Linked DNA regions of Oryzias latipes. Each later gene encodes a partner of the first gene's protein in a complex. Links are inferred from orthologs where the notes say so. Each region holds a gene or a part of one and is shown in the gene's direction. Other genes may lie near its edges.

Region 1 (3,821 bases):
GGAGTTTCTGCTGTCCCTGGATGACTCTGTAGATGAAACGGAGGCAGTCAAGCGGTACAATGAGTACAAAGTTGACTTTCGCCGACAGCAGATGCAGGACTTCTTTCTGGCTCATAAAGATGAAGAGTGGTACGGTCTTTGTTGCTTTTTCCACACAGTGATGTATTGATTCTTCTGTGTATCAGCCGTACACGAGGATTGGATCAGACTGAATAGGCCAAACACCAGATTTTTCAATATAGAAGTTAGAACAATCATTCATTTTAAAGTTTTTAATGAAGAACAATTTCAGTATGAGGTACAGAACTATTTTAGCTATTTCTTGTTGCATTTATGCATCAAGAAAAAGAAAACCAACCCACATTCTATTTTATTACCTTTAGCAATGTTTTTGAAAAATGTAATCAGACTTCTGTGCGGATTAATTTTTGTGTAGATTTGTGTAAATAGTTTGTTTTTGAGTTGATTTTTTTAATGCTTTTTTGTTTTTTAAACACAATTCAATGTTTTATTCTGCTTGTTAATGCTTACTACACTTATTTCGCAGGTATCATGCAAATTTGTTCTGTTTTGACTTAACCCATTCTTCTTCAATTCCACATCCACGTTGACGACGGTTTTTTTCAAGATGAGCAAAACTGGAACTCATCCGCAGGAGTCGCTTTTAGATAGCAAGGGCCGGCACTGCGCACAATGCAGTTGCTCCTAGACACACAGTATCAGGGATTCTAGATAGACAGCCAACCTGTCCTCTGCATATAGAGGATTTTTTTTCTTCGCTGTTTTCTTTTTATATTCGGATCGAATCAGAACCCAAAAGCGAATTTGTGTGTATTCAGGCACACCTCTGGGGTGAAGTGGAGCGCATTTTCACAGAAGAAACCCCACCTCTTTTTATTTATTTGTTAATAAACTGGCAGAGCAACAGGTAACTGTGGTTCACTCAATGATTAACATTTTTAATGTGACATGAATATGCAAGTGCTTACATTTTTTTATCATTTCTGTTGTCGTTTTTTCTTTTATGATTTGGTGAGTTAATCTCAGACTCTCAATTGAAGTAATTTTCGTCATTGTAAAGGGTTAAAATTATAGTTTAACATGGATGTCAAGTTAATTAAAAAAATATTTCTCCTTAAAATCAATCAATGTTATTTCAAATATGTGTTGAAAACCTAACAAAATAATTTAACATTTTATTTTTTGATGCCCTTTCAGGCTTGATATATTTTTTTTATTTTTTTACAATTTTTATTGATTAAAAAAGAAAATTCAACCCTGTTTTTCTGACCCCCTATCATTTCATTCCCACTCCTCTGTGGACCTCCCGTCCTCCATGCACAGGTTTAGGTCCAAATATCACCCAGATGAGGCCAGCCGGCTGAAGGCGGAGGCTCGCAGTGCCTTACACAACCGTCTGAATGTTTTCACCTTCCTGATGGAGAACGGCTGGTTCGATCATGTTTCCCTGGACATTGAGCAATCCCCGGTCATCATCAGAGTTTTGGATGCTGGTGAGAGCTCAGGGAGGATTACAGCTACATGTGGAGTTGAGGCTTTTCTACATAGCGATGCCAACCTTTTCTGTCTCTGCTCCACTTTTATTTGCTTTTCTTCAGTTAAAGTTCAGGAAATTTGAAAAGTGGGCTTACAAGTTACTAAAGTAAACCTTTTTGGAATTACTCTTCCTTACAATTGTATGTCCACAAGCTTTATTCACGAAGGCTGCTGCACACAAATAAGCCTGGATAGAGGTGGAAAGGAGCTTTCTTAATCGTTTGAAGAAAAGAAAAAAGATTTGGTTGCGAAAAAACATAAGTAAACAATTCTGGAAACATACGTCTTACAACAAAGTCGATACATTTGAATTTTGTTTACAAAAAAAGAGGATGAGATTTGATTATGTTTTTAATAGTTTATCTTAATTACTTTAAAGTAAGCTTTATACGCCATTCAAAAACACTATGAATATGTTAAAATATAAGTCTTTCTTAACTGTACAATTTTCTCTCGCTATTGTGCGGTTCACCTTGGATGCTTTTTTTTTTTTTTTTTTTTACAGAGCACTGAGTTTGCTGTCTCCTGTACAGAATATGTTGAGCTTGCCAGAGTTGCATAAATCTTCAATTTTGATCAGATCTATTTTATTCTATAAATCTGGGCGTATTTTTCTATGTAGAAAAGTGTATAAAGTGTGCAGTGAGGAGTTTGACAGCCTTAAAAGATTTGTAAATCTACTTTGTGGATTTCACCAACAGCGGGTTACTTCTAGAACCTAACTCCTGCGATAAACAAAGGAACATTGGATTGTGATTTTTCTGATTATGACAGCGGTTTAAACGTGACAGAATGCGTGTCATTTAGATGCCACTGAAGGTTTGTGTTTTTAAAAGGCAAAACTATCATTTTATTGATCAGATATTTTTTCTTACATGCACATGTATTGGGGTTCCTGAATAATCAAAGCGATTGTAATGTTTTAGGATAAAATATTAGCAACATTTTTAAATGTTTTAGAATCAAGTATTTGCAAGAATGAATTTTTGTTTTTGCATTGCAGTGTTTTAGAACTAAAGCAACTTTCCACATTATTAGGTTTTGTTTTTTTTATCATTTGCATCAGTTATTCTTCTTATTTCTATTTCTTAACAGTTAAACAACCCAACCAAGACAAAATCAATTTTAATATTTTTTGCTGCTTATTGCCAGAGAGAGTAATCCACACAATCAACGTGTTTAATGTTTTCTAAAAGTGCTTCACAGTTTGTTTGAGCAGGCAGTTAAAGGGTTATAGCGCATTACTTTTCTGAGTAATTGAATCTAATTTTAGGCTGTTTCATCTTTATTTTTTTAAAACTTTCTACAGTTCTATGTAAGGATCTCTACTTAAATGGGTCTTATTTTGTTGATTAAATACTAGATTCCCCTGTCTTTGTACAACTATAACCACACACATCCTCTTCCTTGTTGTGTCCTTAGCTGTGATAAAAATGGAAGGAGGGACGGATCACGACCTCCGCATCCTGGACATGCCGTCTGAGGAGGAAGAGAACAAAGAGAAGTCGGCCCCTGCTTCAGTGGGAGATCAGCTCTCAAAGAGAGAGGATGTTAAATTGAGTGGAGAGGGCAAACCTGTAGAGAAGGACAAAACTGAAAAGGTCGGAGTTTATTCTTTTAGTAAGCTAATAAGGTTCTGATATTTCTTTTGTTAAAGATGAAGTTGTTCACCAGGAGGAGAATGACTTTGTCGGCACAGACCGGGAGGCTTCTGGAAACGGGGAGGACTTGAAGAACGAATCAGTGAAGGAAGCTGTGAAAGAGGAAATGCCTTTACCAAAAAAGGTTCTTTTTACAATTACTCCAGAGGAAATGAACGGCAGAGCAACACTGACTGACTGACTGACTGACGGCTCTCCTCGCTTTTGGTAGGCGAGAAGAAAGCGAAAGCGCAGTGGAGACAGCGATGATGAAGCCAGCCCCTCAGAGAGCGACTCTGACTCAGACTCCATCTCCAACTGCTCAGACAAATCTGTGAAGAAAGAAGAGCTCCAGGACAAGGATGTGGAGGAAGATGAGGGTGAAGGTGAGGAAGAGCATGTACGCTGCCTGATATGACTTCTCAATGTGAATACAAAGTTCTCTAGAACCATTTATTGTTTTTATGGTTAAGATGAGAAGCCAAAGGAGAACTCTGAAGAGGACAGGAAGGAAGAGAAGAAGCCCAAAGATGACTCCCCCAGACCCAGACCGCTGCACAGGACCTGCTCTCTGTTCATGCGAAGCATTGCCCCCTCCATTTCCAAGGCGGAGATTATTGCAGT
Region 2 (4,326 bases), on another chromosome or scaffold:
GAAACTGACATACAAGTCAAGACTTCTCAGCAGAACCACAACTCTTTATTATGAGCTGATCATGTTTTGGACTTGCTATGTAGCAAACTGTCAGCCAGCAGCTGGGTTCATCTTTTCTAAAGAACTGTCCTGCTTTTGAGCAACGTTATTCTTAATTTCTTATTTCTTTGATGCAAACTCTAATACATTTCTGATTTGTTTAGGTAGTTAAATTTACATTAAATCAATGAAAGTGAATCAGTGGAACAGATTAGGGGGGAACATTTGTGTTCACTTTGTTCCAAAAAATAAAATGCCACCCTGTGTTTAAATTGTTTCTTTTTTCTTTTTTTTTTTGCAATGTATTAATTTTTGAACTTTGAATGTTTAAATGTGTCAGAAGTCAAAAGCAAGAAACAGATGTGATAAATCTGTGCACAAGACTAAAAGTTTTCTCTTCTGGACAGTTAGTAGGCATTTTGCATATAGTAGAACTGTTAAAGTCAAGAAGGATGAGTAACAGTTTTAAATACTAACATTTATCTAATGTACATTTAAAAAAAATGTGAAAAAAGTAAGACAGAACAGAATAAACTGTTGTAATCAGGCTGCAGCCAATAGCATGGTTCCACGTTTCACATATAGTCTGCAGCTGGAGTATTGCAGTGCAATACTATGCAAAGATGGTGCAATTCTGTGTGCCCTTGAGATGGAATAGCTTTGCATAAAGGTTTCTGAATGAATCTCAGAAACTTTACAATATTTTCTAAAAGAGTAAAGAAAAACCTGTAAAGCAAATATCAATTCAGATTTAAAAGCTGGTGATTTTATTTTAAAGAAGAAAGATATCCAAACATTTGAAATATAAGGTTTTTACATTTTTGTAATTGGCAACATATACTAACCTAAAAATAGACTTTTGTAAGTGCCATCTTCATACAACAGAAAATACTTTTTTTTAAGTTCCTCGCCAATTTTTATGAGGCTTGAGCTTTTATTTATTTCAAACTTTGAACAAACGTGACAACTATAACCCAGGCAAAACTGAACAAAACGCCCAAAAGAAGAAAGCAATAAATCTATCAATAACAGGAAAAACAAAGTTAAAGATATTTCCTTTAATCACAAAGTTAAAAGCATGAGTAGAAAAAGAGCATCACCAATAACTCATCGTATTTAAAATTATGTTTCCAACAACAAAGACTGTCAGATGTCCAGGTCAAATATCCACCCGGAGTCAATAAACGAGCGCACAACCGGAACTGATACCTCTCACGCTAACACTGGTTAGCAGTTACGCGGCTTTTTGACCGTTTGCATCATAATGTCTGTTAAATTAAACGCTTTACACAGCGATTCTTACATTGAAGTTAGTCAGTATAGGGACCAACATTTTAAGGTAAGTGAGAAATGAACGTAGAAGTCATATGAGTTGTTTTAGACCCATCAAGCTAGCAAAACATGTGAAAACAAAAGCGCGGTTATGCTTCATTTTAAAATTAAATTGATTGCACCAATAATTTTGCTCCTTGTCAATCGCTTTAGTAAAGTTACAAAACAAACATGTTATTCTCTTAATTACACCGCGTTTTAATTGCTTGCATTGCTGTTTCTTAGTCCAAATTCAATATAAAAATAATAAAGCTTTTGCTACACTGAAACAATTATTTTTCTGTTTCGTTCGTTATTTTCGTTGTTTTGATGGATGCATAATTTTACTTTAATTCAAATCAAGCTTTAGAAGATATAGAACCTTTTATAAATGAATCTTAAAAATATTTAAAAATAAAAAAAGGGTGCTACGTGGACAACAAGAGGCAGCAGCACAAGAAGACCCAAGAAAATAAAATCTATAGTTAACATTTCGAATGGGCAATAAATTTATAGATTAGATTTATTTATTTTAACCTTCCACTTTTAAAATGCCTTACACAGGTTGATTTATAGCTTAAAGAAATAAAGGAGGTGAAATAAAAAGGTGTTGTATTTTTTTCGTGCCAAATGTCTATTAATTGTCAAGTGTTGACAATTTTTCATTGCTTGTTCGGTATTAGGGGAACCGTTATGAACAGGAGAAGCTGCTGAAACAGAGCAACACTTTGTATGTGGGGAATCTGTCCTTCTACACCACTGAGGAGCAGGTGAGATTCTTCAACTCTGCTTCAGACTGATGTGAAGTTATGATCTCCAGTCCTGGTAATGAAATAATTAGGTCAATTTTTTTTTTTTTTTTTTCACGTCTTAAGTCTTTTTTTTTTAAAATTAATTTCTTTCCTTTGGTGACTTTTTAACAGGTTCATGAGTTGTTTGCTAAATGCGGAGATGTTAAGAGGATCATCATCGGCCTTGATAAAGTCAAAAAAACTGCCTGTGGCTTCTGCTTTGTAGAGTATCCTTTTGAACAACCAGACATGGATGATTTATCTTCTATGCAAAGGTAAAAATGTACATTTTGTGATTCCATCTCCCTAAATAACATATGACTTACATTATTTGATAAATATTTTTGTCATCTTTTAAATAATTAAGACCTCATGATTTGTGTTGTGGCAGTTACTTTTCTTCATCATTTTGGCAAAGCTCCATAGGTATCTACATTTACACCATTTAGGCTCTAATGAGTTTGTAAAACACACAGCGAGTATAGTAATTTAAACCTTAACTACAGTTATAGTAGGTATTCTGTTAATGTTCACTCTAAAGTGTTTTTGCTTGTGGTTACAGAGTACAAACTTAGTTTTATTACATACCTTAGAACTGTTTAAATGTAGAAATTGTTTTGCATGAAATCTATCAAACTTATTAAGAAGCCGACAGTAACATCCCAGTGCAGCCCAAGCCGACTGAAGCTTTTGTTAGAAAGGATTTAACTGCTGGCGTGCCAGATATTACACACGAGGAGATGCAGAAAACGCCATGCGCTTCGTTAATGGCACACGGCTGGATGATCGCATCATCAGGACAGATTGGGATGCTGGCTTCAAAGAGGGCCGGCAGTACGGGCGAGGAAAGTCTGGAGGACAGGTGAGATATGGTTAAAGTGTCTGTGAAAAGTCCAAAAGTGTTTGTTGATGCAGTTTGCGTCACAAAGTACATACGTCTATGAAAATGTTTGATTGTTGTCTCTGTTTTTGTGTAGGTGAGAGATGAGTACAGGCAGGACTACGATCCTGCCAGAGGAGGCTATGGGAAGCTGGCGCAGCAACAGCGGAGCACAGAAGCTCGCAATACTTTTTAGACCAAGTCTGAGTGTTTTGATTGGACTTCATACAGGACTGAATTTATTCCCTGATGATCAACAAAAAGCAGGCAGTGTCCAAAGAGATCTAGGACTTGGAGATGAACAGAGAAGGAATAAATCTTCTATGAATACCATTTATTTCAATCTGATATCATCAGTCAAATCCATTTGAAATAGAATGTTGTTGTTTTTCTTAACAATTGAGACATTTTGTTTAGGTGTAGTGAATGTGCATTACTGGGGTGGAGCTTTTATTAACTCTTTTTTTTGTCACCAGTTAGTTACAAAACTATTTTCTAAAATTGTTTTATGATTCTTTTTGAGTGCAGTTAACATTTTCTCTAAATTGAAAAACCTGCAGCATCTCACTCCTATTTCTCTTATTTGGAATTAAAGAAATATAAAGGGTCATACCAGACTTTTTTGTTCAGTAGATAATAAATTATCCAGTGAATTATTTTGAAGAAATGTTTTTTTTCTGTTTCCTTTTTTATTTTTTACCCTTCTGATTGCAATTCTCTAACAAAGTTATAGCTTTGTTTAATTGGGTGGGTTTTTTGTGTTTGTTTTTCTCTTGTGGTAAGAATTCAAAATGTTAAATTTATTTTGTCTCTGTAGACTTTTTATACAATAAACACATTTAATTAAACTGTCAGTTTTATTTGTAAAGCTTTTGATCATACAAAATGGATAATAAATGAAAAAATTCATTGAATATTATAATCCACGTAATGAATTTTATAAAGGTCTGAAAACAGTATGCTATTAACATTACTTAAATATTTGCTGCAATCTCCTTTATGTAAATGAGGATGCATCATTTAAGTCTATGCTAAAAGAAATTTTGCTTTTTTTGATGATTTTCTTTTTAAGAGAAGTTGACTTTTTACAATTTTCTTAAAGCTGTTGTTAGTTCTCCTGTTTTTCACATGGATTAACCTTTAAAAAAGTCATCCTACCTAACATTTAGTTATAGTTTTCTTCACACCAACCATGTGCCAAAAGTTCCATTTTTGTTTTCCCCTCTAATAAAGGTAAGCTCAGGATGATTTTATAACTCTTGTGTTATCCTATCGGGTCAAGATGACCATTGACGTGTTCTCCCT

What was found.
Region 2: the proteins of srrt (region 1) and ncbp2 are in contact, whole or in part, in a cryo-EM structure (PDB 8PMP), measured with the Homo sapiens proteins. The link is inferred for Oryzias latipes from reciprocal best matches to the Homo sapiens genes SRRT and NCBP2. Residues at the interface, in NP_056992.4 of Homo sapiens: Asp857, Arg859, Ala860, Ile861, Val862, Glu863, Tyr864, Arg865, Ala869, Asp874; in NP_031388.2 of Homo sapiens: Ser48, Phe49, Tyr50, Thr51, Thr52, Glu53, Gln55, Lys67, Met71, Leu73, Met76, Lys77, Lys78, Thr79, Ala80, Tyr89, Asp107, Glu121.

What each region holds. Positions count from the first base shown.
Region 1 is NC_019872.2:15,813,562-15,817,382, reverse strand, and holds part of srrt (serrate RNA effector molecule homolog), read left to right. Parts: coding exon 1-129; intron 130-1,344; coding exon 1,345-1,514; intron 1,515-2,979; coding exon 2,980-3,158; intron 3,159-3,231; coding exon 3,232-3,342; intron 3,343-3,429; coding exon 3,430-3,583; intron 3,584-3,670; coding exon 3,671-3,819; intron 3,820-3,821. UniProt on the Homo sapiens protein: Acts as a mediator between the cap-binding complex (CBC) and the primary microRNAs (miRNAs) processing machinery during cell proliferation.
Region 2 is NC_019862.2:17,994,148-17,998,473, forward strand, and holds ncbp2 (nuclear cap-binding protein subunit 2), read left to right. Parts: upstream 1-1,210; 5' UTR 1,211-1,303; coding exon 1,304-1,378; intron 1,379-2,033; coding exon 2,034-2,120; intron 2,121-2,273; coding exon 2,274-2,368; intron 2,369-2,864; coding exon 2,865-3,003; intron 3,004-3,118; coding exon 3,119-3,217; 3' UTR 3,218-3,872; downstream 3,873-4,326. UniProt on the Homo sapiens protein: Component of the cap-binding complex (CBC), which binds co-transcriptionally to the 5' cap of pre-mRNAs and is involved in various processes such as pre-mRNA splicing, translation regulation, nonsense-mediated mRNA decay, RNA-mediated gene silencing (RNAi) by microRNAs (miRNAs) and mRNA export.